Linked DNA regions of Danio rerio. The protein of the gene in region 1 interacts with the protein of each later gene in a biochemical or structural test. Links are inferred from orthologs where the notes say so. Each region holds a gene or a part of one and is shown in the gene's direction. Other genes may lie near its edges. The genes, in order: cflara and dedd1.

Region 1 (16,641 bases):
GACGTTGGATTTTGTTTGGACATGAAAATCAGGTTGACATCAGAACCCATTGTCAGGCCGACTTCCTTGTCAAATGTCCAACATAAAATCAAGCAAATATCAACATCTAGTCATGTTGACGTTACCAGTATGACATCTTTCAGACGTTGGATTTTGGTCACTTTCCAACACAACTCAAAATCAACCAAATATCAAAGTAATTTGACTTCGTTATTGGATGTCAAAATAATGTTGTCCTTAGACGCTGGCTTGACAGAATTTTGGTCACCTGACATCATGACCTAAATCTAACCTAATATTAACAGCTTATGATGTGTGCCTGCTGGGAGTAAGGTCAATGTACAATGCAAAGAAAATTAGTCCAAAGTCTCATGTAGCTAAATTTAAATAGTTTCTATGATTAAAATATACTTTAGGGCTGCACAAGATTGGAAAAATATGGCATTGCAATTTTTTTCGTTTTACACATATTGAAATATACAGTTGAAGTCAGAATGAGTAGCCCCCTCTGTTTATTTTTTCCCAATTTATGTTTAACGAAGAATATTTTTTAATGACTTATTTCTAATAACAGATTTTTTTTTACCTTTGCCATGATGACAGCACATAATATTTTACTAAATATTTTTCAAGACACTTCTATACAGCTTAAAGTGACATTTAAAAGCTTAACTAGGTAAATTAGGTTAACTAGACAGGTTAGGGTAATTAGGCAGGTTATTGTATAATGATGGTTTGTTCTGTAGACTATCCAAAAAATATATAGCTTAAAGGGACTAATAATTTTGACTTAATGTTAAAATGGTGTTTAAAAAAATTAAAAACTGCTTTTATTCTAGTCAAAATAAAAGAAATAAGACTTTCTCCAGAAGAAAGAATATTATCAGACATACTGTGAAAATGTCCTTGTATTGTTAAAGCATTAGGTGAATACTTAAAACAAATTTAAATATGCAAAGGCGGAGTTATAATTCTGACTTCAACTGTATATACAATTTCACCAGATGACTTGTTAAATATCTCTATTTGGAAATAATTCCTTAATTTTAGATTGATTGGGATGGTTCTGTAGGGAAGCGAGTCATGCATGATATGTTATAAACAAATTACAAGCATAGGTAAATGCAATAGAGCACATATAAAAGTGAAATAAACTGTGTGTTATGGTTTGTCAAGGCAATCAAATTGTATTTAGGCACAGAAATAAAAACAAATCATATAAAATAAAATAACACTGCAAAGACTTTACTAAATAGTTCAATAAAATGATCTTCTATTAATGTTACAAATGGTAAAATTGCTTCCGCCTGAATGCTTTAAACCACAGGTGTCAAACTCAGTTCCTGGAGGGCTGCAGCTCTGCACAGTTTAGTTCCAACTCTAAATAAACGCACCGGATCAAACTAATTAAGTCCTTCAGGCTTGTTTGAATCCTACAGGGAAATTTTGTTGTATGGCGCCGCAAAAAGAGGCGGGATTAAACAAGATGATTAGACATTTAAAAAAGCATGCGATTGGTCCATATTATACATTTCTGCACAGAGATGTCATGTTTTGATCCTCGATTGGTTTCATGCATTCAAGTGATGCAATTTTACAGGTCAGAGTTCTCCAAGCTTGAACTTTGCAACGCAGCAAACTACGAAATTTGTCGCATGAGCTTGCGTTTCCCACCTGGCACATCCGCGTGCATATTAATGGAAGTCTATAGGGAGAAATGTCCAGTGTGACCGCGGCTTAAGTGAGTTGAAGCAGGGTTGAACTAAGAAATAAACTGTGCGGGGCAGTGGAATTGAGTTTGACGCTCCTGCTTTAAACTCTCTTAGGGTTTAAAAACGTGCAAACGTTACAACTTTTACTCCATATTATGGTTGAACTCTGCAGTAACTCCACATATCTTGTGTTTTGAACTGTGGCTTTAGACTCTCAATATAAAATATATATAAATTCTAAACTATATAATCCTATAACTCAATGTTATAAATCCTGTGATGTGACTATTGCGGCCGCACACATTGCGATATCAATGCTGAAGCGATAAATTGTGCAGCCCTAACATACTTCATAATCAAACTGTTATCAAAATTTTAATGACTCCAAATGAACTGTCGGTATGATGCTGTTAATTGCAAATCTTGCGCAAACAGATACACATCTATATGATCAAATGCTTACTTTACTACAGTTTTCTCATTTTGTTATTGAGAGTAAAATGCGTATCACGTATTTACATACTCATCTAATTGCCACTTGAAGGTTAATTAACAGTATAGTGCTGTAAAGTTATTTCCGACTTCTCTTTGTTTCAAATCAAAGAATGAAACAACTTCATCATTAGTATATTGGCAAGTTGAAGCACATTCTCGTACATTGTTTATGCAGTTCTTTTAATGAACTTAAAGTGTCGCTAACAACAAGAGTTTCTGAGTTTTTGCCTCTTTGTTTACTTATAAAGCCATTATAAAGATCAAATCAAAACTGTAAATTTGCTCAAAACCACAGCCTTATTCTGAGTCACTATGATGCAATAATGATTCATATTTACACTTCTGACGTTTGATTCACCTGGAAATCTGAAGCTCATTTTATTATTATGTCTACAAAGCAAATAAGTTGCAACTTGCTTAGAAAAAATGCCTTAAAGGTTTTTATTTACTATCATCTATCAGTCAGATCTGTTCTAATATACAGAAAAGTACTTTTTTAAGTATCTTTGGTTTTATTTATCAACCACAGATATTCGTCATGTACTTTGAATGTTTTTATGTGTAGCAGTAACTTAAGTAGAAACATTCTTAAAATCAAACGAGGATCTGTCCCTCATAGACAATGATCGGAAAAATGCTATATATTTACCTTTGCCCTGCATTACACAAGTTGCACACAGCTGATAAGAAGCTATCATGTCCTGTATGTACTCAAGTTTCTGACTCTTAAGCTCACTTGAAATAGCCACTAGACTGAAACCTTTTTATTCTCTAAGCTGACAACTTTTACACTTTGTGCTGTACAGTTTTAATATTATTATTATTGTTTTAATATTGTGTTCACATCCAAGTGTGGGTATGTCTCAGATCACTGGATTGCTGTATTTGTGTTTAAATCAACTATGTGGTGCTTTGTATTTCCACAGGAGTAACAACAATGGTGCTATAATAGTGTTCAACCATGGACACCGACCATTAAACGCAACAGACTGTTTCACACATGATGGGAATGGTGTAATCATCTTGCATTTTCAAAAACCTTTTAACAGATAATTGGACAACTCCAGACTAACAGATCATTCAGATTCAGATCTGATGGAGAGGTATGAATTATAGCACTCATCTCACTTCATTGTACAATCATTTACAATTTTATTATAACTTTAATCATGCAGTCGTGGAAAACCTTCAGATATTGTGCAATGTTAAAATTGTGTTTTCATGACCAGGAAATGTCACATGGATTAATAAAAATATCAAAACGTTTTGTAAATCTCTGGTGAATACTACTGCACATGATGTGGCGAGAAATACTGTAAATGTATATTGGAACCAAAGTAAAATAAAGAGACAGTTCACCCAAAAATAAAAATTCTGTCAACATTTATTGACCCTTCACTTGTTCCAAACCTGTTTGAGCTTCTGCTTTTGAACACAAAGTAAGATATACCGATGATCGATGAAAAAAAAAAACACCATTGACTTCCATTGTATTTTTTGTTATTACTATTTCCAACATTCTGCAGAATATCTTGTTTTGTGTTCAACAAGGAGAAACAGATATTAACATTTTAAACCACTTGAATATGAGTACATTTTTTATTTTTGGGTGAACTATCCATTTAACTTAAACCAGGGGTGTCCACACTCAGTCCTGGGAGGCCGGTGTCCTGGAGAGTTTACCTCCAACCCTAATTAAAAAAACCTGAATCAGCTAATCAGGCTCTCAGTAGATAAACTAGAAACTTCCTGGCAGGTGCGTTGAAGCAAGTTGGACCTAAACTCAGCAGGACCCCGGCCATCCAGGACCGAGTTTAGACACCCCTGACTTAAACCAAAACCTTCATGCTCCCAAAAAATATATCAAGTCAGTATGTTAGTAATTTGTTCCTTTAATTTAAGCTGTTTTAAACTGACGTTTAAAGTAAAACATGCAAAGACAAAATAGTGGAAAATTTGCACTTTTTTGATTAGAAACTGTTAAATTATTTGCTTTAAAATATGGAATTGGTATACGTTTGTAAAGTGTATCATTTTACAGTTTTGTTGTGAAAGAATCATCATCAAAGGATTCCGCTTATTGCACAAGATTCTTTGATCTTATTGTTTATCTTCGGGAGCTTTTCCAAGTGCTGATCTGTACAATATACAGTCATAATGTTGATCACAATGCAAGACCTTGACCTGATTTTTAAGTTAGACCCGCAGCCTAACACAGTTTCACAAACAACACTTGAATGACTATATGGAATCTTATCCCCTGGCAAAAAAGTAGCTTGTTTTCTGTAAACATGGTTTCAAAGCACAAACGTTGTTTTTGACAGCATGGACTCAACATTTAGCTTTCACACTGGGTGTGTTTCACTGGTATTTTGTTTACAATTTATAATAAAGTGTTTTATCTCATTTGTCGTTTCAAGTATTTTCTGAAAGTCAGTTCATTTCATTCTCATAAAGGTGTGTCACAATGCTAAATAATTACCAAACCTGTAAAAAACAAATTAATTATTACTAGGGCCAGAAACAATCTGCAGACATTTTTGCGGAGAATTTTGCAAAAGACCTGCGGATTTATGCTAAATGAATTTGGCAGAGTCATAACTATAAACTTAAATGAAATAAAATGTATTTTGTCCAGCAGTCACATCGGATGAAAATTTTGTTTTAAAACCCAAAAAGTTTATTTATTACTTTTAGTTGTGAACTCATTTTAAGCAATCAAATCTTATGAAATGTAGAAATTGCGTTAAGAGAAAAATATACAAAGCAAGACTGAGTAATACAAGAAAAAGACAACTAAATAAATAAAATACAATTACCAAGTGTGCATATTACTGTAGGACATCTCGGTGGTTCGAATTGTTAAGGGCCCCCAAATCACTAAATCCAGTCCTATATGTACTAATCATAGGTAATATGTCTAGATCATGCAAACGTTAAGGCACTGTTGAATGCTTTGATCAAATATTTGGAGGTTATATAAAAGTAATTTATAATGGTTTATAGTAAGTATGAAGCAAGTACTATAAAATAAGACCAAAATTAAATAGTAAGTTCTTATAGTTATCTGTATCTTTTCATCTATGAAATGTACTAAAACTTTCTTGTTTTCTCTTGAGCATTGCTTGTTTGCCCAGACACTGCTTACCTTAGATGTTGTTCATATTTGTTCAGTGAGTAAATTCACTAAATGTCTTATACTTGGCGTGAAAATTACAATAAAATGAGCAAATCAGCAAAATATTATTTTGCAGCAGCCTATGCATTTATTTCAGCATTAGAGTCCACAAATGAAAAATGTGAAAGGTGGAAAAAATCTGTTTTTATTCTTTTCAACAAGTCTGTTAGCAAATTAGCCGTAGTTGCATAACAAAACTGCATAAGTGAAAAAAAAAATCTCCAATAGAATCAGCTAAATCGTAACGATCACTTTAACATCTGATCTGTGCAGTTTTGGAACTCAAATTATGTAAATAAAAATAGTTGGTTAGACACATGACTTTATTTACATATCCACATACACTAAGAAAGCATAACAGACCATCTAATCATAGGATTGAGTGTAATAAACTAATTCAGGATCTTAATGTTGTTATACTTAGTTAGAATCGTTTTATAGTAAAATATACAAAACAAACATTGTGTCACATTAAAATGAATTACTATAGTTGATAATTTAAAATAACTACTTCATCTTTTACTAAACTGCAGCAACTTTTAGTTATATATATTATATATATAATAAATATATTTAAATATATAATTATTATTATCAGTCAATTTGTTTGTATTACTATTTTGTTGCAACTATAATTATCACAAATGACCAGTACTTTATGGTTTAACAAATCTATATAAAAACATAAAAACAAATATATTACTTACTTTAAATCACTATAGTACTTCATGTGGGAAATCATTAATAAAAAAAGTTAGAAAATTGAGCAAATAAATACTTATCGCTGGAGTAAAATAATAATATAGTGTTAGACATTTATTAAATGTAAAAAGATTTGTATTACATATAAAGATGTATTATAGCCTACACATATAATCTTGCCATATTTCCTTCATTATAGTGAATCCATTATATAAATTAAACCTGCCCAATTTAGATCGTTGATATATCTCTGAAAAATGTTTCAGCAAAGCCAGCAACGAGTATCTGCTATACTGACTTTGTTTGATGAATAATGACTGATCATCCATGAGGGCTGATATCAGTACAGCTTGTCTCGATAGAGGGGGAGCATGAGCTCTCGCTCCTCCTCCTATAAGCTGTTTTAATCCTGGTGTACGCATTAAAACAGCTTTCAGGAGGCAGAGCTAGAGCTCATGCTCCCCCTCTCTGGAGCTCAGCTCTGCTCAAATGGCTCTGCAGCGAGCACCCTCTCGTTTTAATGCGTGCACCAACCCCACCCCTAACCCTACCCCAGTGACATCACTCGTAGAAGTGCATGAAAGGAGGAACGAGAGCTCAAGCTCCCCCTCGCTGGAGCTCAGCTCTGCCTAAATGGCTCTGCAGTGAGCACCACTACTTGTCTCGATCGACCGGAACAGGGCGTGACTTCGCGTAACTCAAAGGCTTTGGTAACTTTGCTTTCGCTTTTGCTTCAGTTTGTCACGATGGCGACGTACGACGTAAAAGGTAAAAATATCATTTAAATACATTCTCTCTGATCAAATAGCTTACTTTTAGTAAGATTTTTTGTTATAGCTTCATACAAGTTAGTCGATAAACACTTAACGTTAACAAGTTCTATAAATGGCCTACGTAACCTACTATAAGTACAATTTTACCGGACAAATTCGGCTGTAAGTTGAAGAGTCCTAACTACTGAACGGAAGACGTTGTGAACAACATGTAAACAAAGGCAGTTCAAGTCAGTCGACGGTGAAACGTAGTAGTTGTTTTAGAATACGCGTATTGTATCGTTTTGTATTGCTGTTGTGACCTTTAATTATCTGCTCCGCCTGTATCTCTGTCCACGTAGGCTTTAGGAACAGGTGTAAGTTAGTATTGTCGGGAGACTTAGTTATTCATACATTCAACTTTTTGAATCAGCTCGAGTCGAATGTTTTCACAATAAAGACATTAAAGAATCGATTAATCTTTTACGACCGAAGTGGTTCTTCGGAATTCAAAAGTTATGCCAAAAACAATGAAAAGGCGTTGTTAGTAGATAAACGCTGTGAAATAGGCTAGTTAGTAGATAAACGCTTGTGTAGTGACGCTATACAAATTCCATGGTTGATTTCGGAAATCCCCTTGCTTAAGCACACTGACAAGGATGTTTGAAAACATCAAATGTAATGTATTTTAAAGAATATCAAAAAATACCACCGTGGTAAAATGCCCCCCACAAAATCTGTTGTGGATGTCTAGGTACTTTCCATCATTATGGTTTCATTTAGATTTACATCCATCTAGTGATGAGTCCCCTTTCTCCTCCTCTTTTTTTAAAAATTTTTTTTAACTTAGTGTCAGCAAAAGATGAAGCTCGCTGCTGGCAAAACCACCAAAGAATTTGGTGCTCCAAATTAAGGTCACTGAAGGTAATTCAGCCTTTTACAGGTATCTTTCATTTGTTGATGTTTTTTTTTATTTATTTTTTTATTTTTTTGCTAAATTGGGTGTTCTGTTTGTCTTTTACAGGTGTAAATCCAAAGTGGCTACATTCTTCCATTCTGTCAAGATAAATGCAATTTTCATTCATTGATTGCAAAAAAAAAAGAAAAAGAAAAGAAAAAGAAAATACAGCCCTTTTTCTAGACTAACTTAATTAGATTTTAAAAATGCATAGAAAATTCAATTCTGCTTTTAAAATGACCCAAACTATTACCTAAAGTATTTATACAACACCATACGGTGAAATGGCAGATGGATTTTCTACTCTGGTTAACAAAGTGACCGCATCTCTTAGCAGCGACGAGTCTAAGATCCTGCTGTATCTTTGCACTGATTTGTTCAACAACAGTTGTGTGGAAGAACTGAGAGGAGATTTGCTGGCCTTTGCCCAACAGAACCCCAATCAAGCAGGTCAACCTCATTCTGGAAATGCTCTGCTGATGGAGCTCATGTTTCAAATGAAGCGCTATGATTTACTACGCAAAGTTTTTGGCACCAACAAACAACAGGTAGAAGGAATTCTCAGAAAGGAGCGCGTCATCTCAGATTACAGGTAATTTATTCTTCAAATGAACACATTTCAGATATTTCCTAACCCATGACCCATGTGGTGGAAAAATACAATTTTAGTAAAGAAGAACTATTTTAGAGCTTGACATTTGTTTGTTTTTTTAGGTCATTAGAGCAGTTTCATTAGAAATACCCATGTAGAAATACCCATGTGTGTTATTTACACTCTCTTTTGCAGTACGATTATTGAATTGATTACTTTTATACAGGGTTCTAATGGCAGATGTGAGTGAAAACTTGGATAAAGAGGATTTACAATCTCTTATCTTCCTCCTAAGCAGTATCCTGCCCAAAGAAAGATCAACTAGAGCTACTGTAAGACCTTACTGAATATTTCTGTCTGTTCAAATTAATATTTATTCTGCAGAATATTTAGGTAAAACTGAACATGAATATGCTATTTTTCTAGAAATGTGTGTGCTATTTCATTTTGGTTTCAATTGATTTCCAATAGAGCTTTCTAGATGTGGTGGTGGAGTTGGAGAAATTAAATGAAGTATCTTGTGAGAAGCTGGACTTTCTTGAAAAGTGTCTTAAAAATATTCGCAGAAATGACCTTGTCAAAAAAATTCAGGCGTACAGGAATAGAGGTCAGTCCCTTTTGAAAGAAAGTAAAAGAGAAAATCTTCTGCAAAAAAAAAACATGCATTTCTATAACGCACCACAAAGCTCTTAATTTGGCAACTAGACTCAGTTATTTTATTTACTAATATATATCAAATAAAGCAATTACGTGATTAAATTTACTAAATAAAAATTATTTAGGTCAGAACATGCCATGTGCCGCTCCAAATACCTTTAAGGTAAGACATTTAAACAAATATATTGATACAGTATATGAAAAGTATATAAAGCATATTTTTAAACTCTTTGTTTTTCTACTTTTTAAAATTTCAGTTCACCCCTATGCAGTGTCAGCCTTTTGAAAAGCAAGTGAGACAATCACAGTGCTTCAATCATGGTGAGTTAATATGTAGGTATGTACAGTATGTGTAAAGCGGGTGTAAAGGGATAGTTCAAACAAAATTCTGTCATTATTTACTCACACTTCACATTTCACAAAACTAATTGAGGTTCCTTTTTCTGTTGAACCCAAACTTTATTTTGAAAAATGTTGGAAAGCTTATACCACTGACTTCCCTTGTATTTGCTCTTCTTTCTGGGCAAGTCATTGGTCACAGGTTTCAATTTCCAACATCCTTCAAAATAACTTCTGTGTTCAACAGATGAAAAATGAGCTCATAAAGGTTGGGAAGAAACCATTCGAGAATGAGTACATGATGACAGAATCAAACATTTGATTTGCTTAATTATCACTTTATTTTTGACCCTGTGATCTTCTTCTAGAGTTCAACAAATTGAAGCTTTCTGTGCCTGAAACAGGGATTCACTATCAACAGGTAAGTTATCAGCTTCTCGGCTGACTAAAAACAATTAAAATAGAAATTGCCATTCTTTTAAAGTTTATAAGTTGTCTTTATATCTGCTAGGCTATTACAGAGGAGTATCAAATGAATCCCGAACAAAGAGGCCTGTGTGTGATTATTGACTGTGTTGGCTATGATGGAGGTAAGTGTGTGTCATACTCTCAAAATAAAGGTACGAAAGCTGTCACTGGGGCTTTTGTACCAGGGCCACATTGGTACTTTAAAGGTACACTTTAATACTTTTTAGGTACTAGTATGTACAGTCACAGTACAACTGAGGGACTGTTTGGTAACACACACTTAAAAAAAAAAAGGTACTGCCACAGTGATTTTTGTACTTCTATTTCTGAAAGTCTTTCTCTTTTGTATTTGTTCTAGAGAATCATCTAGAGAAAGTGACCTTAAGGTCCTCATTTAACTAATAAAATACTATAATTTCTTTATTGACTTTTTTCATAAGTTAAAAGAGGATCATAAGGTCACTTTCTGTTTTAGGTGGGGAAAAAATACCATGACAGTTTACACTTTCTGAATACTTGTTTTGCCCCTGGTTTCATTGACACTCTTTATTCCGACAAGTGTGCTCAGAGTAAAATAAAAAAAATCCTATATTATACCCCTGATTTTCCTAACAAATTCATAATTTTCATACAACATGATTATTTTCCCAGTAATTACAAACTGGGGAAAACATTGATGTCAGAACAGAACTAACACTGTGGATGTTCATCATTTTCTTTTACACATAACTTCTGCATCTAAACATCTACACATTGTGTCCTTTCAGAAATGTTGAAGCACACGTTCGAATGTCTGGGATTCAAGGTCGTTTTTCACTCTCTCTTGGGTCTGAAGGAAACCCAGAAGGTTTTGGAAGATCTGAGCCTGAACAGAATTCTTCAAAGGGTCAGATGCTTTGTCTGCTGCCTCATCAGCAGAGGAACAAACACTCATCTGTTGGCTACCGACTCGAACAGGCTCGGCATCAACCTGAAGGATCTTAAACAGCTTTTCAACGCAACCAAGTGTCCAAAAATCTTCTTCACCCAGCTCTACAGGATCACAGAAGCCCCAGTAATGCCCTCAATGGATGACGAATACCTTGAGACAGATGCACCAGCTTCCAGGCAGTGTTCAAACACAGGAAGTGTTCCAATGCCAGCGGACGTCCTCTGGAGTGTCTGTACAGCAGAGGTAAAACTGCTGGAAGAGTCCGGGCACCAGTCGGTTTACCTGAATGCATTGAACAATGCTTTATTGAAAGGACATGAGAGGTATGGCCACTGTTTATAAAACATTTCTTAGTGCCTAATTTACCAATGTTAATAGGACAGTTCACAGAAATATTTTAAATTACTCATCCGCTTGTTTCAAACCTGTTTGAGTTTCTTATGTTGGAGACAAATTATTAATATAACATTTATTCTGAAGGATGTTGGAAGACTTTTTTTTTTGTTAACAATATGGATGTCAATGGCTGCTGCTCTCCAACATTCTTCAGAATATATTGTTTTGTGTTCAAGAATCATAAAAGTTTAGATCTGCTTGAGTGTGAGTAGATGAGTAAATTAATTTTTGGGTGAACTATCCCTTTAATATTTGAAATCATGCATTTATTTGTTCCTTAACATGAAATAAATGTTCTTGCTGCATTGTATTACACCAGCAATGCTAAATTATGAAGCTTATTTGTTAGTACCATAAATGGTCTCGTTTTAATCAATGCATTTACTAAGATTGAGCAATATGTATTTTAAAAATAGCAATTTCTGGGAAAGTCTAAATGAAATGTTACATTCAGATGTGAGACAAACCAATGTTAAAACAAAACTCGTTACTAAAACAGAGCATTTAAAAACGTCTATAACTGCATCACTCTGGATTCAAACCCATTACCTCTGCATGCCAGTCAGGAAGTCTCACCACTTCACTAAATCACTTAAAAATTCAGGTGTACAACGTGGGGTTTAATACCTCAGTTTGCTGAACGGTTTCTTTGTTGAAGCTGTTCAGAGTAATACATCACAACTGACCACAAGGTGTCACTGTAGAAACAGGTTTTGAAGCTTCGACAACTTTGCTTTGACTGTTTAAGTGTTTTATGAAGCCTCGCTTTGCCCACCACCAGGGCTGGACTGGGGCAAAAAATCAGCCCTGGCATTTTGGGCCAGAGCGGCCCACTAAATTCAATCAAAATGCTATCGATCTATGCACGTCATAAATAAAAAAAAATTATAAAACACAAAAGCCATATATATTAAATAAATAAATAAATACAAACTTTAATCTCAATTTAAATTTCTGTATACTGTCCATAAAGATATTTGTTGAGTTCTAAAAAAAATACACTATTCATTCATTTATTTTTCTTCGCATAAGTCCCTTATTTATCAGGGGTTGCCGCAGTAGAATGAACTGCCAACTATTCCAGCATGTTTTACGCAGCAGATGCCTTTCCAGCCACAACCCAATATTGGAAATCACCCATACACACTAATTCACACACTCATACACTACAGCCAATTTAGCTTATTCAATACACTATTCACTCAGCCTATATTCAATAATAAACATAACAAAAAAACTGCCTGCTAATGCATGGGCAAATCTTAAAAGGGAACAGTGTTACATTTTAACCTCTTTCTCCTCATCCTGCTTGGTCATCTGCTTTCATCTAAACAATGAAAACATAATATAAGGAAATTTGTTTCATTTTGAAATTATGATTAACAGACACCAAACAGCCTCGTGTAGCTGCATATTTATATGAGCGTCATCTTCACTCTGCATATTTATAACAAAACAGGGCTTAAATACAACTGCCTTCTTTCATTTCCATTGAAAAGAATGAACTTTACCCTGTCTCTTTTGCAGAATATCAGTTTTAATAACCAATAATGACCATTATAACAGTGTAACGTACATTAAATTTAAACGATAAAGGTAAGCAATCAGTCAATGTGCAGAATCAGTGTATGTGGTTACATTAATTAATATATTAGCTTATCTTTGCACTCAGCCAAAACAGTTAACTGAGAGCAAGAGATTCAAAAGACATAAGAGTTGTTAGATAGAGACAACAAGATAAATTCAATATCACGTTTAACAACTATAGTGATATGAGATCATCCAGCAGATGAACTGTCTGACATGCACTATACTCTCACCTGGGGTTTATGCTCAGCCGCTGAACTACTTGGCTGCAGCTCTTGGCAGAGAGTGTGCATGTGTGTGGTCACGTGATTTGCGCTTTTAGCCGTGTACTAGATTGTACAGAGAACTTTTCAGAATCGCTAAATGAAACGCCGGTGTAATTCCCGCGATTTCTCTGCGCCTCCCTTGCGTTTCTTCTCTCTGACTCTCGACTATTTTGACAAATACACACAGACGACACACGCTCACACGGAGTCCAAAATAGGAGTTTGTGATTGGGCCAGCCCAATGTCAATACCGAAAAGAGCCAATGGGCTGCAGAGTGTCAAATGGGCCGGCCCGGTCTGTCTGTCCGGGAAAAAAGCATCTACTTTCAGAGTCACAGATCACAGCAGCGTCAATTAATAAGGCAGAAAAAAACGATAGGCTGCTAAGCCTTTTATGGGCCGATCAGATCATAAGATGATGCCTGGCCCAAAAAGTACGTCGGCCCACCGGGAAAGTGCCCGGTCTGCCAGATGGCCAGTCCGCCCCTGCCCACCACTATTTATAAGCTGCTTTCTAGCTGTTTTTAAGGGTGTTTCCGGCTTGGGAAAATTGGTCCTCTCTTGTATGAGTCCTTTGTAAATCCATTAATTTGAAAAAGTACACAACAATCAAGTGGATCTGCTTCCAAAATATCTGTATTAGTTTGACACATCGTGGACAGATGTTATCATGAGACAGAATGATCAGAGTGCCATAGACTTTTGCCCATTACAATTCAACGCATGAGTTAGCAATAGATCACCTGTGACAAAGCATACATTAGCTCCTCGTGAGTTTTCAACTGATTAAAAAGCTGATAATGTGTATGCAATTTAGGGCTGCACAATATATTGCAATATATGATTTACATCACAATAAATGTGTATCGAAGATGTGTGTGATAAATTACATTTATTTTATGCATTGGTTGTTTCAGACCAATCACATTGGCCTAATTATTTTTATTGCCACCTCTACAGTAGTTGCTGTTCTGCTATTAGCTGGAGCAACCCAAAGGTGAACCCAGAGCTGAAAATTAATACTTATGCCGAGAGTCAGACATGAGAGGAAAAGGACAAGTGTCAGAATATCTGCTGAGGATTTCACTCATTCGTAGTGTTTCAGACTAAATGTTTGCATCTGGACAGTTTTAGTGTGAATTATAATTAGTTATATTTTACTTGTTTCTTTTACTATCATTACATAACTTATTATTTAAAATTATTTAAAAGCAGCTAATAAAATTCACATTTTTAGGGAAATGTTATATCATAACATTTTTAACATAATTATCATGATACTTAACAACAATGTTATATATGTTTCCAGTCTCAAGCAGCCCTAATGCAAATAAACAAGCTCAGCACAACAGAATTGCAATATTTACAATATTTGCAATAAAATCCATCTTTAGGTTTGTCGTTAATACAACATTATATTCATTGAGACCATTAGTTATTGCTTCTTGAAATTTAACACTGAAGCCGCCATATTCAACAAGAAATGTGTCAGTGTTCAATCAATTTTAGTTTTCCTTTTGCAGACAGAGACCAATCTGATCATGAAATCCCGTTTATTTATATATATTTTTCCTTTTATTTGCAGAAATGTGCCCATATTGGATGTCATGAAGGAGGTACAAAGAAATGTGTTGAGTCACGATTCTGACAATTACCAGCTTCAGCAATCTCACACACTACAGAAAAAACTCTACTTATAAGGACAACACAACACAAACCACTCCATACTTTGGTTTCTGTTTTCTTACAAACGCTAGTAAAAAATGTTTGTAAACAAAACGCTGCTGCTAGAGTAAAAACTTAGCATAGCTACATACTGCCATTAATGCTGTATTATTCAAGTATGTTTTGTTATATGTTTGTTTAATATTTATTTGTCACTTGTGGCAGCTAATACAAAAATGTTCTCATTTGCAGTCAGAGTACTATCGTCCTGAATACCCTTAAGTCATTAGTCAAGATGTTGTTTATTTGTTTATTGCTTCTTAAATACTAATCAGAGCAGCTTTACATTCACACATACATACAGATTACATTTGAATGCTCCAAAGCAGAAAAGCAACGACAACTGGCAGTGAAAACACTACTGAACACCACTTTTATATTCCATCTTGCATATAAAACTCTATATAACCAAATAACCAAGAAGTATTGTCCAACAATTTTATCTTTGTTGATGTGTAGTATGAGTAAATATTTGTTTTGTAACTAGAATTATAGACCATTTAGTACTAATCAATCAATGCACTTTTAAAGCCCTAATTATTTAGACCCTCTTCTTAAATGATCCGTGAATGCTTTTCATTTAGGCATTGATTTTAAAATTAGTGATGAAATTACATTTTCTTAGACCAGGGGTGCCCAAACTCAATCATGGAGGGCTGGTGTCTTAGAGATTTAAGCTTCAACCCCAATTATACACACCTGAATCAGCTAATCAAGCTTTATCTAGGTATAAACTTCCAGGTAGGTGTGTTGAGGCAAGTTGGAGCCAAACTATGCAGGACACCAGCCATCCAGGACCAAGTTTGGGCACCCGTTTAAGTCTTTGTCTAGTTTTCAGAAGAACCAGTTGAATTACAATTACATATATATATTTTTTTCTTTGAAGGTTATATGTTTATCAATATCTAAAATATATATATATATATATATATATATATATATATATATATATATATATATATATATATATATATATATATATATATATATTAGCTATTGTACACTACTATCGGAAACCTAATGATTGATAGTCATTTTCACTAGAATGTCATTGAAGGTCAAGAAAGATGTGTATTAGCAGATTAATATATAAATGTATAATTGTATTGATTATTTTCTTTTCTTTAAACTTTAGTATACATGTATAATTGTCCTAGAATGTCATTGAAGGTCCTGGAAGATGTGTATTAGCAGATTGATAAATGGAATTATAATTACTCTTTCCCCTTCTGTTTCAAACGTTACTGTGTATAATTGTCTATAATTATCAACATCTAAAAAAATAACACATTGTACTTTATAACCTGCTTTTGTACTGGAGTCCTAACGATTAATAGTCAAGGTGGCAGAATGTCATTGAAGGATGGAAGATGTGTATTAGCAGATTAATAAGCTTTATGAATGAACTGAATGTGTGGACAGCCAAAAATCTGAAAACACTCCTGGCAGCATGAAGTGAGTACTTTTTTTTTTTTTTTAATTATTATTATTATTATTATAAAAAGCTACATAAATGCACAAATAAACTTCTGTCTTTCTTGCAATAAACTATATAAACGACAGAGCCAGTCCGCAGTTATTTTTGGAAACAAGAATGAATGTACATGATTAAAAAATAATAATAATCACCCACCATTTTGTTTGGAAAGCGTCACGTTACCATTATCAATTCCCGCTCATTTTTGAGTTCGCGCGTCATGACCGTAAATTAGCCGTCAATGTTTGCCATAAACATTCCGTTGTTTAGTAAGAAGATAAACTATATTGGTGGCTGAACATTGTCGGTAGGGAACATATCGGAGATTTTGTTTTACATTAAGCTACAAATGTATTATCAGTAGCGTAACTCGTTTGCTAAAATTAGCATAAACGTAGCACATAGG
Region 2 (16,507 bases), on another chromosome or scaffold:
CAATTATTTTTCAAGAGTCCAACATCCAGCTGTGCAAGAAAACACCTGACATAAGCAAAGTCATCTTTCACTACTTTATTGTTTTCAAATTGGGAAAAGATTTGACAAGTAACTTTTATTATCAATCACTTTTCTTGAAACAAAAAATAACCAATAAAGTGTAAAGTACTTATACAAGAGGCTAGAAAAACTGTGAAGCTCTTAACTGTTGTTGTTGTTATTATTATTATTATTATGTTTTAGTTTTTTATTATTATTTAAATGGCCACATTCTGACTGAGGAAAGTTGAATGTGCTGGCCAGTCAGTTATTTGCTTAATAAATTACACTAGGCTACAGTTTCTAATTTAAAACGTTGATGCATGATAAATGATGCAATATATTTCTGTTTTAAAAACACATATTTGCCATATTTATTTCTTTATTATAAATATTTAGGAAATGTTTTGGTACATCAAAAAGTGTGGTTATGATGACCATCCAACAAGATAATTGATTCAATAAAGTCAGGTAAAAAGTGCTTAAAATTTCATCTAAATTCAGCATTGAAATCTCATAACTAAACAGAAAATGAGGCGAACAACAGCAAAAAGATCTACCTATTAAGAAAAAACCCTTTCAAAAGGCTGGATTAATGAATAGCAAACTATAGATGAAAGGTTCTTCAAAGTGAAGTATAAGATAAAGGAAAAGTTATATTCGGATATTCAGACATTCTCCTTAACAATATAATTTCAGAAAAGTATTCTTTGCAAATTCCGAATAGGAAAATCATATAAGCACCAAATGATTATCAAAGTACAACATTGTTCACAATCAATTAGATAGAATTAATGTTATTTAGAAGTCATACTTGCAGGCTAATTCCGATCGAATATTCAAAGTAACATGGTAAACAATATAGGGACTTCTAAATGTGCGAATATAAAACCAACTTTACCTCTAACGTTATAAGTACAAGAACATGCACATAACTTTAGTCAAGGGATACTAAGACTTTTACACTTGATAGGAAAACAATGAATTTGATCTCCTTCACAGAAAGCAACTTTCTAAACTTCCTCTGTATGTCTTCACTTAATCTATGAAGCTCGCTTTCTATGTTATGGTAAGTTATGAACGTGTTCAATGACGTTACTGGAAAAATGATGTCACTCATGGGCTGCAACTGAAACTCTGCGTTCAAGAAGAGAAACAATCCGGTAGAGCAAGTTTGTTAAGCTGCTACATTACGTCAGATGTGCCTCAAAAAATAAATTATTACAGTCAGACAATAAACAACGTTTTCTTTTTTTGGTATGTCACAAAACATAATCCATAAAGTTTGTTTATCAAATCCGTTACAGACAGCAGCAAGCGCTCTTTCTCAAAATATATATCGATACCCCTTAACTTTGAGATCAATCGGTAACGTTAGTAACATAGAGAAATCGACAGACAGTGAGACGAAATATTTCTAGAATTGTGCTTTAAAAGGGGAGTAAACCTTAAAGTAACAATCATACTCACAGCACTTTGTGTAGATGTGTTGACTGTGTTGATGTGCAGCGGATATGATGTGGTTCGCAAACAGCGGTGACGATCTTCTTCTGTTGACATAAGTTAACACGAGTCAAACTTGCGACTGCCTCCTAGTGACACGGATCAGCATACAGGGCATGCACCTAAATTTTTTTTAAATGGATACAATGTCCTTTACATGTTATAACTATTATTTTGCATTAAGATAAAATATAGAAAATGAGGTTTAATGATATAAGAAAAAAACAGCAAAACTAAAAAAATATGAAAATAATTTTTAAAAATTCAAGTACAAAAGATGCATTCTAGAACTTTTGGGCCCCTTGGCTGGAATTGTTTATGGCCCCAAAATCACTAAATCAGCCCTTGATAATATATAATATATTTTAATATTCAAGAACAGACATACCTAGTAATGAACATTGTATAGTTGACATTCATTTGCAGCATTATAAATATGTGATGTCAATAAATACTTTTTTTCTAGCTAAATGCTATTAATTTCAGGAATTGGATTTCTGTTCTTTTCCAGTACACACTGCCAAAAACCTTGTGGCCTATCCAAGTTTTAGGAACAACAAATAACTTGACTTAGTTGATGATTTGGTATCAGTGGCTGAAAGGCAAAGGCCTCTAGTGTACGCTTCTTTTACCAAAATAAAATATGATTATGCCTTGATTTTTTATTATTTAATGAGGATAGTAAGGCCTGACTTTGCTAAAACAAAAGACTTAACAGAAATAATGTACAGTATAGAATATAAAGTCATGGTGCAATGGAAAAATAATTAATATTGTGTATGACTCCCATGAGCTTGGAGGGCTGCATCCACACATCTCTGCAATGACTCAAATCACTTATTAATAAAGTCATCTGGAATGGCAAAAACAGTGTTCCTGCAGGACTCCCAGAGTTCATCAAGATTCTTTGAATTCATCTTCAATGCCTTCGCCTCCATCTTACCCCAGACATGCTCAATAACTTTTATGTCTGGTGATTGGGCTGGCCAATACTGGAGCACTTTGACCTTTGCTTGCAGGAACTTTGATGTGGAGGCTGAAGTATGAGAAGGAGCGTGATCCGGCTGAAGAATTTGCCCTCTCCTGTGATATGTAATGAAAAGGGCAGCAAATGTCTTGATATCTCAGGCTGTTGATGTTGAATAAATGTAAACACAAATCATATTTTTTCCTTCACCAAACTTGACTGATTTCTGTGAGAATCTTGGGTCCATGAGGGTTCCAATAGGTCAGCAGTATGTGTGATGCAGTTCAACATGATTAATCAAAAAATTTACCTTCTGCCACTTTTCCAAATGATCAACTAGAAGTCAAGTTACTATTTGTTGCTCTTACAGCAGGGATCGACGACAATACTTTTGTCAGGTAGTGTAGGCACAGTGTGATTGCTAATAGCAAAAAAAAAAGTTATTTTAGATATAGGAAATTAATTATTGTTATCAATATTAGAAATTCCTAAATGCATCAAGCTGAGATACATTCACACATATCAGCAAATACCATTTCAGTGATATCTGAATTCTTGATATTCAGTGGGCCTATACTGGAATAAAGATTATCATTAGTGACCATGTATTTATTGGAAAAAAAAAGGTTTTACCAGCAACTGTTACTGATATTTAAAATGGAATTTAAATAGTGAGAAATTAAGTATTGATTTAAAAATGGCAGCCTATGGTCAAAACTAGTGAAGAACTGGTAATTAACTTTATTTCTCAGAGGAGTAACATCATTACTGTTATGCCTCTGTCAGTTTAAAACTAGAATAAATACACATCTCTATGCATTAGCAAACACATAAAACACAAATGCTTTTGAAATCCAAATCCTCCAAAGGATTGTTAGTCTGCATTACTTAGGGCAGCTGAAGCTGGGAACACTTCCCAAAATAAATTACAATTTGAACATCAATTATGTTAGTCTGTTTCTATTATTCCAGAGATTTCCATAATCCTGGACCAGGCCGTATCCTGAGCAGCTGCTGTGGAGGTCATGGAGGAGTGGATAGCATGAGACTGATTCCTGTAAGACCCCAGTGACAGATGAGTCTTCCTCAATGATCCTGAAGAGTCAGTCTGCACACCAGCTGGTGACCTCTCCCACCTGCAGCTTCTCCACGATGGACGTCCAGCGCTCTCCAGCGTCAGACGCTTAGATTGCAGTTCTGCGCAAGAAGTTTGGCCAGAGGAGAAAAGGTCGTGTCCAACAGAGCCTGGTTTCTCTTAAGGGTTTTTTCTTTCACTTTCGGCAATTGGTAAAGTTTGTTCCTTGCCACTGTCGCCCTTGGTTTGCATGGTTCGGTACTTTAGCTGCACATCAATGGACCGACACAGTTTCAATTTACTATAATCTTCTATGTTGAGCTGCTTTGACTCAAATCTACATTGTAAAAACGCTATAGAAATAAAGATGAACTGAATTGAGATTAATTGGATCACTCATCCTGTGATCACCTGTGGAAGCATTAAGTTTATTATCTGTTTGTATATATATTTCAACTTAGATATTAATGTTATGTACATAGATATCTATAGAGCACTGTATGCACGTAGTTTCACTCTGTTTCAACATATTAATTGTGGCATGGAATAAAGCAGCATTATCTGCTTTAGAGTTTATCTGTCTGTTTAACTTTAGGAAGAGAGACACCAGAGTAAGGGCAGAATAGCTAATATAGTAGAAATCTAAATCCCTATCAATAATAATCATTTTAACTAGAAAAACTAAATTGTTGATATCAAGAGAAAGCTGTGAATATTCAAAACATTGCCTTATTCCCTGCTGGTTTGGTCTTTCTTTCTTTCTTTCTTTCTTTCTTTCTTTCTTTCTTTCTTTTGTTCTTTCTCTCTTTCTTTACCATTTTTTTTTGTAATATAGAGGACATTCTTATTTTATTGTCCTTATTTGGTTGTCCTAAATTACTAACCAGAAACTAAATCAGCATGTGAGGATGTTATGGGAATGTCTGGGTCCATGTTATCCATGTATGCTGGTATGATAATTTATGATTTTTGGAGTTTGTATTTCAGGAGTCAAGGTCTGTGAACAGAACTCTGCTTTTTGTTTAAAGCATAAATTACACACTGCCATGTTTTGGGGAAAAACAATGGAAAAACCTGGTTTCACAAGCTTGTTAGAAGCCTATTAATGAATAAATAAATAAATGAGCGAATGAACCAAGAAATGTAGCGGAAATAAACCACAGAAATTAAGTGTAGTTTGCATAAAGGGTGACATCAGGGGGGTATTCCAGAAAGCTGGGTTAACTAACCATCTGCTAAAACCTAAACTCTCGGTTGATTTACCCAAAACCTGCTTACCGCGAGTATGTTGGTTCCAAAACAGGTGACAAGAGTTAGTTAAATCAACCTCCTGAAGATAACCGCGGGTTAATGCGCGTGCACGGCACACACCTGAAGGCATTTTCAGTAGATCGCCGAATTCAGGAGTCACCATAGAAAGTCACGGTGAAAAAAAAGGGCAACGCACTTTACAGAGGCGAAGCTGGAGGTTTTAAACACAGAGATTACACATCTGCTTCAACGAAGGAAAGAAATATAGAATAAGAAATAGATAAGAAAATAAATAATAAGAAAATTTATTAGTTCATTAAATTACACATGCCACCCTCCATTTTATTGTAATGATAAATTAAACTACTCTTTAAAATCCTTTTTGAGTATGTTGTGTAACCATTCATGCATTTATTTTTCTTGCCATTAATTTCTTAAGGCCACAATATGTGTATTGACTAATAAGGCTTATAGAAATTGTAATCTTTCTGGAGCTAGAACTCTGTCCAAAGTCATTAAACACAGAAACATTATCATAAAAGGTAATATTTAATTACTGGAGCTCTTTATTTAACACTCTAGAATATTGTTTCTGACATGCAGCTAATAGAAAGAGGCCTGTCTAACTGCTGTGTCCTATAATAAAGGCTTTTCAGTGGTTGAGTTTTTGACTTAAACCACACACTCTGTCACTGTTGTAAGTGATTGTTGTCAGATAGCTTTAGGTTCTTTTTATTTTGCATGCAGACGAAGTTCCTTCTGCCTCAACTAACAAGCAGTGTAAGAATTTTCTGCACTTTTCCATATTTGAATATTACTCTTGGATCACAAAATCTTTTATCTACATATTTAAATTCTAAAGTAGCTGTATAAGGTCCATCTTCAAAGATAAAGTCACATGAGCATCAGCTTAAGATGAGAAATGTATATGAAAAATATGTTACACGTTGAAAGGTGCTTGTATAAAGCAGTGTAAAAAATCATTCATTTTATTTCAGGAAATGAAGAAATGAACAGACCAAACTATTTGATTAAACATAGTTTTTTGACTAATTATATATTTTTAGCACTCTTCCATCTGTTTTGTCTGCTTGGGTCGCTGAGATTTACTCTGGGTCAGGCTGCAGGTACGTGTCATCGTATAAGGCAGAAAAGGGTATCTTTTGTCCTCCAGCAAGTAACAATGTAGTGCCCAGTAATGATTCTATTTTATAATACAAATATAATAAAAATAAACATTGTGTTAAGCAACATTTGCTTTATAGTTTTTTACTATATTTACTTGAATCATTACTTCCTGAAAATCAGCCATTTAGCCTCAACATAGTGATGAGGTGGGGTGTGTGATGAGCTGGTAAGTGGAAGCAGTAATGAGTTTAATAGTTGAAACACCAAAAGATTAAGGATAGAAAATTAAGTTGTACCTGCACACTTATACTTTGGACAAATTTTATATTATCAGTGTCCTTTAGTGACTGATGGAGCTTTAAAATTGGCTGCAATTAATGCACACAATAGCATTTAGAAACCCTGAAAAGAATATTATATTAAAAAATGTAGGTGTGTGTGCTTGAATGTTTATATAAGAACGACGTCCTACATCTTAAATTAAAGATATATTTTCCTACAAAAGACAAAGCTGCCACTTATTATATTATACAGTAAAATGTGAGGGTGCAGAAGGAGAGAAAAAACTCAAGATCTGTAAGTGAGATTCGAACTCGCTCCGTTGTTCTTTATCGACGCACTGTCCACTACACTATTCCCGTGCTCTGAATCAACTGTGTAATGATACGCAGTAATGTATGACCAAGGAACTGTACAAAAGTGTAAAAAACAGTTCAGTGCCAGGCATACTTTACAGGTGGTCATGCTGCCACATTGTACAGTTGCCTAAAATGCCCTGACGCGAATACAAAGAGCTGCACTAAATGATTTTTATGGTAAGCACAGACCCATGGTTTGTCACATTTGATTTCAAAAAGGTTTGTTAAATACATTAACATTATGAATTTGGTTATGAAAAAAACTATGCACAACGAAAAAACTTGTATCTGTGTGTCCACATCCATAAATATTCTCATCAAAAGAGCACGCAATGCTCAGTAAACTCTCTGAAACAGACAAACTCTGAAACATAGCAACTTACTCTCTGAACATAACCTGCTCCGGAGCAGGTTATCTTCAGAGAGTAAGTTGCTATGGCTACTTAACATACCCAGAAGTTACCTCCGATATTGGAACCAAAGTTGAGGTTATCCACCTACTTACTCTCAAACTTACCCGTGTATGTCACATAACCTGCTTTCTGGAACAGCCCCCATGCATTTTTGGCCATGTTTTTGTTAAATTGCATGGAAAACTAATAATATAAACCCCATTCCTAATTATATTAATTATAATTAATATTATATTAAACCACATTCCTGTCATTAATAAATACTGTTTTTAACATTTTGTGTGTTCAACTGATAATAAAATAATTGTAAGCTGACACATTTTTTTAAATTGCAGTGTTCAGGTAAATGGGCCAGCTAATCAGCTTTTCTGAATCACTATTCTAAATGTGCATTTGTTTTTATTTATTTATTATTGATATTATTGAAAAGTAATATTGCACATATCAGTCAACTCACTTTGCCTTTGGTCTCAGAATATTGCCCCTCCCCACTTAGCAACCTTCGACTGATAAATTAATTTGCTAAATGTTGTCAAGTAATGTTATGGCGACAGTTTGAAATTCTTTGCAGTCATTGGCTGTTACCTTTTGAAGAGACAAGACACTTCACCTTTGGATGGCCTATTTTGGCTATATCACTTTATAACAATAACAAAAACAACGTCTCGAAAGAGTTTTCCTTCAAATTTATTTAATTTTCCCTCACCAATATGGCGAATTTCTGCGGATACCATTTAACGAGCTTGGAGACTCGATCTACAAAGCATATTCAAGTGACCTTCCCGGAACCTTCTTTCTAGAAGACCTTTGGCGATCTGCGGTTGTGCAGAGATCAGTCCACAAAACTCACTGGCACCCGACTGTTGTTTTCCATTTGACTGGTGGGTGAATTTCGTCGGATTCTTGAGTGTTAACACATCAAAAACCCTTTGTGTCAGGTAAGATTTCATGGACTACAGAAAATACGCACATTTTATTCTTACAGTAACATATCGAAACCTGTATGATCGAAACTATTTAGATTGAAGTATCTCGCGGCTAGTTTAATTTTATTTTTGCAAGAACACTAGACTAATATATCATAGTGTTGAAAACAAACCCACTAATGAGCTGTATTTGGAATGCAACAACATCTAAGTCTTTTAACATCGAGTGTTTGGTGCAGTGTGATGTCAGGTCAGCTTAAGGAAAATCTAACGTTAGTCAGTTGCAGGGTTAGCTACGCTTATGCATCAAACACAAACAATCTACATAAGTCTAATAACGAAATCATTCGTGCATATAATTTTAGTAGATTTTGTTGTTTTTTTTTCAGCTGCTCGGCGTCAGCTTCCTCACCTCAAACGTGACGTTACATAAGGAGTGCACGTGACGCTGCGTGTGCCTGAGAGAAACGTCTGACGTCAACATTTGGAGCTGCTGAGCTGACGGACTGAGGGCGGACCACAACAAAAGCTCTGTTCAAAACAAAATAACTTCGCTGAATCTTCTACGACCGTGTAAATATGTTTATATACTGTTGGTTTTGTTCTGATAAAAAGACAATAAGCTGTATTTGAATTTTACATAGACTGTATTTTAGTTCGCAGTCGAGGCTGACAACTAGCTCGGAGGCTAACATCTGTTTTTGTTGAGACTGTCGAAACGCTCTTACATATAACGTTACTTTACATGTTTGAAAAACAGCCAATTAGCGGATTTTATTTATAACGGATATTTCAAGCTTATCTTTATGTAATATTTGTTTATGTAAATAGTGTTGAGTGATTATTGACAAACTATAGTATGTTACGGATTAAATTACAGATTAAATCCATAAACAACACTTTTTTTTTTAGATTTAATTTGGATAGCTTACAGATTTATAATATAATCTGTTTAAAACATGTATTACAATTGTATTAGAGTTTTATACAACTAAAACAAAATGTAAATATAGTTTTTTATAAAGACACAAAGAAATGCAATGTATTTTATAGTATTCAAATATTAAACTGAATTAATCTAGTTCTTAGGTAAAATAAAACGCAAGTAATTTTATTTATTTGCTTGACCATAATTGACATCAGAAACTGTGAACATCACATATTTATACAAATTTAAATAACTGGAGCTTTGGATAAACACATCTGCCAAACAGTTAAACATTTACATTTACAACTGATTTGCTTTTGGATGGCTCTTCAATATATTGGGAATAATTAGAGATACTCCTTATCATACACACTAGTATCTAACTATTTAAATAGCTGAAGAATAAGGGAAAGTCAGTAAATTATAATTTATAGCCAAAAAGCCATTTCATCACCTTAGAATGATATGGTTCTATCTGACAGTTTTGTCAAAATTGAGTTTTGGACATATTCCTATTAAATGACAACTTATGTACATTATGGGATGTTTTTTTTATAAGTTGTTTACATTTTAAAACTTTTTATTTAAAAACATATTACACACATACTGTTTGCTATAAGGAATACAAAAGATTGGAAGCTCAATATCTCAGAATCATTCAGATAGAACCTTATAATTCTAAGGTGACGATTTTGTGCATTATTTGTAATTATGTAATCTGCTAAAGAGTATCTGTAATCTGACCATGAGCATTTTAAAATGTAATCTTCTTTAAAATGTAACATACTTCTTCTTTACCACACAGATTTGAACATTTAGAGGGACCATGTCTTCAGTGAAATGCTCAAGATATTCCCTGTACTGGGAGGAGACTGAGTGCCTGAGCTACTACGAGACGCTTTCACTCCATGAGATCTTTGAAATCGTGGGTTCTCAACTCACAGAGACTGATGTGGAAGTTCTGTCCTTTCTCCTCGACGAAACTTATCCTGGTAAACATCCTCTTGATCCAGAGGGGTGGACTGAAGATCTGCCTCCAGGACCTGATGGATCTCCACAGGCTAATACTCCGTGTCCTCGGCTTCTGAAGTCATGGCAAAGAATGCAGCCGCAGAAGGAGGGATGTTCTATCGCCAGTCGCCACCGACCCAAGAGTGGCGTCGAACTGCTGTTAGAGCTGGAAAGACGAGGGTACTTGAGCGATGCAAATCTAAGACCTCTACTTCAGTTGCTGCGGATTCTGACCCGACATGATGTCCTGCCTTTTGTCTCACAAAAGAAAAGAAGAACCGGTGAGCATCAGCTTTAAAACTACATTTGAATTTTGTCATTGTTTTTTAGATTCTTGATGTATGATGACATTGATGTGATGAAGCTATTGATATTGAGATGGTATGATGTAATTTTTCTATAAGGTACTGATGTGCTATCTTTTCTTTTAGTTTCTCCAGAACGACAGAAGATAGACTATCCAGAGGTGGATTTTAGACAAGACAGAGAAGTGGGCTCAAACACAAATATACCATCTTTTGAAAACACACAAGATCATCATTGGAGAGCCGGTGAGCAGAAACTGAAGACAGAAAAGGCTGAGCACAGTCATTTACTGTTTTCTTTTTTGCTTTATTTGTTAGAATTTTTGTTTATTTCTATATAGGTCTGTGTGATATGTCAAAAATGCAATCTCGATAATTTTTTTCCATATTGAACGATAACGATATATATTTTGATATAAGTTGGTAATGCTTCCAGCTTTAAAAAAGTATCTCAACAATGACTGAAGCCACAAAGATCAGACGCTTCATTGAATAAAATTTAAAGTATTGTTTATTAACAAAAACAGTTTACACATTACTCTATTTTGGAGATTCCGATTTTCTGTGATATACTTATGATATACAATATAAAATATAACATTCCTGAAGATCTGTAACTGACAGCATATATACAGTACACAAACAAAAATATACTTATTGCATTGTCTAAAAATAAACAACTACAGAAACATTTTTAAATAAATGTTTTACTTGATTAAAAATGGTAAAAACAGTAATCATTAAAATACACAACAGTTTAACAGCAAAAACAGCTGGCGGGAAAGTGAATCGAGCTCGCTAAATAATACTGGTTGACAGCATATCTCTAGTATCAACACAGATTCCTGTTGTTGCATAAGTCTGCTCTGTGATTGGCTCTTAGGTCAATATCGAGAAAAAACATTTCCATAGCTTATTATCATTATCAACATAAATTATAGCGCAATTTCGATATGGTATCGTTTATCAGCCCAGTCCCATTTTTTTTTTAGCATTTCTGATCATATAATATAGTAGGGATGCACCACATTTTCATGCGGTGATTATTATTGGCTGAAAATTGCATTTTCAGTTTTTTTGGTCAAAATAGAAATACAAACAAATGTAAAAGCCACAAAAAGAGCAATACTGTGTGCGGTGTTTACCACACTGCTTTCACTCTACCTCTAGGCCTAGTCATTGAGTGTGAAGCAGCTTTCAGACCGGATGCGGAAAGCACTGCACTATGAATTCCATTAAAGAGTATAGTTGATTTACTCAAAAAAAAAAAAAAAAAAAGATTTATTCACCCTTTACTTAATCTAAACCAGTTTTTTTCTCTTAAAAACAAAAGAGGATACTTTATAAAGAAGAATGTTTGAAAAAATGTGACCATTGTCTTCTAAAGTATTTGTTTTTCCTGCTTTGGATGTCAACAGCTACATGTTTTCAACATTCTTTAATGTATATTATTTTGTGTTCAACAGAGCAAGAATAAACTCAAATTGGTTTGAAACTAGTCAGAGGAGAGTAAACGATGACAGAATTGTCATTATTGGGTGAACTATCCCTTTGATTACCATGGCTTACCATTGCAGAGTAAAAAAAAACAGCTCAATGTATCACTTTGTTGATAATTTGCTCATGTACTAATAAAAATATGTTTGCATGAACCGCATCTACTAATCGTAAAGCAAAGTCCACTGAAATAACTTGCAGCTGGATATTTCTATAAAAATATACTTGTTCCTGTTTGCTATAACGCCACTGGGCTGTCATGGCAGTGCTTTTAAAATGCCATTTATATTTACTTTTTGTTTACAAAATTATTTTATATTATTTATTACATTAATTGTAAGAAATCATTTACAATGTTGGTTTTGGAGCAAATTTATGCAGAATTTTTGTTTTTTTGGCCCAGAATTTAATGTTATTTATTGTAATATAATAACCAGGCATTTACTGTTGGTGAGTTGACTCAAATGTTTAATTGAAAGCATATATTACACATTTTTGTTCACAAATTGAAACTATTAAAGAATAATAATTTAGTTTATTTATATGCCTCAATCCAGCAACAACTCATTGTGGTGTTCAAATATTTTAATTCACAAAAAATAACGTGAAGACTTGTGAACATTTTTAGGTGGTGACGCAAATCATTTAGTTACATTTTTCATAATTTCACTGACAATTGCAGTTTGATTCACAGCAATAAACTGAATGAATTATGTTTGCTGCTTGCATCTAATTGAGGAGTGTACTGGTTGGATTACCATTTTGTTTTCACAGTTTTGTCAGTCACATTACTTTAATTTACTGTTTTTGTTTTTATTATGTCATTACTGTTTTGTAATGAAAAGAAAATAGTTTGTTAAAGAAAGTATTTTTTTTGATACATAGACTGTTCACCTCAAGAATAGCAATATGAGCTAACAAAATAAATTTAGTAATTGTACATTTTAAAGACTTTAAATCAACATCGCTTTAACCTCCTAAACTATGGTCCCTGACATCATTCACTTCTGCGTTTTTTACATTTTAAATGTCTGTACTGCCCCAAAACCTCCATAAATGGTTCTGTTCTCTCATCAGTTGGAATAGAATAACTTTTGCATAGATTATGATAGAGACATTTTTCTTTTTACCTATGATTTCTGGCATGTGCAGAACCCACCAAAACTAATTACAGCAACCCAGACCCCCCAGAACCCAGAAAAAGGTACACTTGCAAATTTGAGTTTACAAAAGAAAAAAAAAAACGCCTCTTTATTAGAGGGGTTTATTATAACACGGACAACACATACAATTATTTTAATCACCTTCAAAATTGTTTTATAAAAATTGAAAAGGCTTTTCTTTATAATGAGACCAGACTTTTGCATTTACACCTCTGCATGTGGATTTGGCAAGCTTTTTAATTTGTGTAGGCAAAATCAGGGCGGAAGCCACAAAATAGCACTTGACTTTAAAAGGCTAACAAGGCTAGCCAAATGACTCAGTCTTTTTGATTATATATTTTAATATAATTATTTTCATATATTTAAAAGTATTCTTAAAAATTGGCCACCTCTACTTGTGTTTATAAATTGCTTTTGCCAGTGTTGATAATTAGTGTTTTCGATGTCAGGTTCTGGCTCTTCAATGACATCAGCCTCCAGCAATCGAAGGAAGCGAGGAAGAGGTCACCACTGGAGCAGGAAATCAAGAGGGCCGCCTGAAATCCAGCCTCAGTCAACACCCAACAAAGTGACGTGCGGTAAGAGCACTGTCTTTCTGTTTTCTTCTGTCATGTAGTCTCATTTAACAGCATCCTTTGAACATGTGAATCGTTTTGCCTTGCTACTTCTCTCTCCTTTTATTTGATTTCATATATAAATTGCTCTACAGCTGAAGAGTGAACCTCAATGCTTCATTTCTCGAGTGTGATTAATCAGTCACTCATTCATTAGTGCTTGAACCTCTAATGCTTACAGAACGACAGTGTCAAACTGTCACACAATACGTTCATGTCATCTCCATTCATCCCTTTGTGAATTCCCTGCACTCTGCACTGTTATCACTTTGAGTTTCATTCTGACTGGACTCAAAGGCTGCTCACACCAAAGCCTCTTTATGCTTTTGCTAGATGGGAGCTGTCCTGCCAACAGGGCATTGTTAAAAATCTCTTCAGAACTGAGCACGTGAGGCACACTGAGTGGCAATAATGGCACAGTAGGTAAGAAAATGCCAAAAAAAAAGATCACAAATTTGCCAGAACAGTTTGTTAAGAAAAATGGTTACATGCAAGTTATATTTTCTACCAAAACTGTTTTTCTAGGACATTCAAATCTCAACATACCAATGGGCCCAGTTTAGCTCATGCTCCAATTTGCTTTCAAGTATAAAAATCTGTCAGGTTCTTGTGTAACAGCCTAGTGGGAGCCAAATGTCATTGACATTTAATACGCATACTCGAGTTCACTGCAATTTTGCAATAATTTATTAGTTTTTGCAATAATTTGTTAGGGTCTGTTCAGACTTAATGATTAAAATGATCTTTGTTAGTGCTGGTTATTTGTATAAATTTGAACCCTGCCATTAGGGATGCAACAATTATAGATTTTGGTTGTACGGTTATAGTCAAAGGAATAATCAGGAATATTATGCATTTATGTATTTCAAAACACTACTAGTTTAAAAAAATCATTTAAAAACTCCTTATATTTTAAAGTATTATTTATTGCTGCTCAGTAACAAGTTAATACACCACAAAATAATAATAAAAAAGTCTAAATAGTCTATAGAGGATCGCACACCGGATGCAATTCGGCGGCTGTCCGCTGCGCCCAGCTATGACTCAGGACACTGTTCTGCCACGCCAACGAGAGGCATCTGAATAGTTTTCATTTTAAATAGCATGCGAATGTGCGTGTCTGATGTGTGATACCTCCGACTGTTACCTCCGTGTCGCAGCGATGAGAAACGTTTTTGCCATTTAAACATGAGTAATAATTTTACACTGAAAATAAATGACAAAACAGTGAATAAACAAACAAACAAAAATGAGAATTAAAAAAAAATATTTGTCTAATGTAAATCTAAGCATCATATTAGCTAAATATTTGCCTATTAAAGAAAACAAATGCAGTCGAAGGCTGCTGAACCTTTGTCTGAAATGCACTTTAGATCAACTACATTACAAAATTGTTCGTTTTTTTTTTTTTTTGTAATTTTTTTTCTCTTTGGAGTACAAATGTGTATATTCCATACAAAGTATGAAGCTGATTGATCAGTTCTTGTCATGTGACTCAAGGTGCGTTTGCACCAATCTTTCAACTAGGTGCGCCTGGAAAGCATGAATGCGTCTTGCAGCATGCACATCACTCCCATTATGCTCGCTAGAAATAACAAACTTGTGCGAACAAAAGACACGACATGTGAAGTAGTGCACCGTTAGTGTAGCTTTGTTAAGTTGCAACAGTTTTAGAAATCAGGTGTTGAAGCATTTAAGATTAATTAACCACGACGAAGTAAAGTGCAGTTAATAGTGAAATCGCTTGATCGTTTCATCCCTACCTGCCATGCAAACGTTGGTGTGCACCAAACAAGCTGAAAGATTCTTAATGTACTCTGGTGCTGTTCAACTGAAATGTGAATCAAAATGGGATTAAAATATTTGCGTACTATATGCACACTAAAAGTGAGGATGTTTAATCAAGCTTACAATACTTTTACATTTATGATGCTACCAATTACATAAAGTTATAATTATATTAAAATGAATAAGGTTCATTAAACTTTATGCCACCAGGTTTTGTGTCTATAGGAATGTTTTTAAAAATGCTAATGTGAACACTCAACCAACCAGAACTAAATGCATAGTTTTATTTTTTTGTCTGGATCAAAGAACCAGCAGAACCATACTAAAAGCGTGAACGCACCCTTAATCTGCATGACCTTGCTTACTTTTCAGCCTTTTTCATTTTTGGTTATGGAGTGCATCTTCTGGTGTGCTTAAAATTTTGAAATATGTTTTTAAACACAAAATAGATTCTCATTTTTAAAAATGTTTATGTATGTATTTTTTCACAATATTACTAGCATGATCCTGGCATTTACCCTCAGATTGTCCAAACATTAACAAATATATAATTACAAACTGCAAAAATCTGAGGACGGTTTCATCTTTTAAGATCAGTGATTTTTACCATGCTAATGTCTTAAAAAACACAGGCTTCCTCATGTTTCCACACTATGGGAAGGTGTCATTATAAAAATGTTTTTTCTTACAAAGATTAGGCTCTAAACATGCTCTTTGTCAACATCATCTTTACACTCAGATGCTTTTAATCTGTTGTAACAGAAGCTTAATGACCTGTAATATCTGCTTGTACAAAGACTGCATGGCTTTGATAATGTTCCTCATTAAAAAGTGCTGCAGGGTCTCATAAACACTCAATATAAACTGCTTTTTTCTTTCACATTCATGTCTCCTGCTAAAGCATTTAGCTTTTGCTGAAGGCTACAAGGAAACCCAATGTTTTAATGGTTTTATCTATAGTTTTTTTTTTTTTTTTTAATATATATGTACAGCACTTATCATCCCAGTAGCAGATGCCCTTATCAGTCAGAAGTAATGCACTAATTTGGTGCAGCAAAATAGTCCATACTGGTAAACCTCTTCCTTTCTCATCAGAAACTATGCCGTATTGTTAAGGTAATGTATTTTTACCTAACAGACCTTGTATCTTGTTCTAACCAGACGTGAATTCAATAAATTATATAAAATTATACTTTAAAAAAGGTCCTTATATAAGAACCATTTATTTTTAAAGTACATTCTTTTCAGAGTACTTAAATGT

What was found.
Region 2: the proteins of cflara (region 1) and dedd1 form a complex in vitro, tested with the Homo sapiens proteins (2 studies listed by BioGRID). The link is inferred for Danio rerio from reciprocal best matches to the Homo sapiens genes CFLAR and DEDD2.

Annotation. Positions count from the first base shown.
Region 1 is NC_133186.1:32,567,609-32,584,249, reverse strand, and holds cflara (CASP8 and FADD-like apoptosis regulator a), read left to right. Parts: upstream 1-6,695; 5' UTR 6,696-6,855; intron 6,856-7,689; 5' UTR 7,690-7,763; exon of another isoform or gene 7,764-7,782; intron 7,783-7,863; 5' UTR 7,864-8,081; coding exon 8,082-8,389; intron 8,390-8,615; coding exon 8,616-8,721; intron 8,722-8,860; coding exon 8,861-8,996; intron 8,997-9,171; coding exon 9,172-9,209; intron 9,210-9,303; coding exon 9,304-9,367; intron 9,368-9,753; coding exon 9,754-9,806; intron 9,807-9,896; coding exon 9,897-9,975; intron 9,976-10,620; coding exon 10,621-11,107; intron 11,108-14,618; coding exon 14,619-14,733; 3' UTR 14,734-15,168; downstream 15,169-16,641. UniProt on the Homo sapiens protein: Apoptosis regulator protein which may function as a crucial link between cell survival and cell death pathways in mammalian cells. Acts as an inhibitor of TNFRSF6 mediated apoptosis.
Region 2 is NC_133191.1:11,087,958-11,104,464, forward strand, and holds the start of dedd1 (death effector domain-containing 1), read left to right. Parts: upstream 1-7,796; 5' UTR 7,797-7,952; intron 7,953-8,329; 5' UTR 8,330-8,513; intron 8,514-9,673; 5' UTR 9,674-9,694; coding exon 9,695-10,160; intron 10,161-10,310; coding exon 10,311-10,430; intron 10,431-13,293; coding exon 13,294-13,422; intron 13,423-13,791; coding exon of another isoform or gene 13,792-13,850; exon of another isoform or gene 13,851-15,922; intron 15,923-16,507. UniProt on the Homo sapiens protein: May play a critical role in death receptor-induced apoptosis and may target CASP8 and CASP10 to the nucleus. May regulate degradation of intermediate filaments during apoptosis.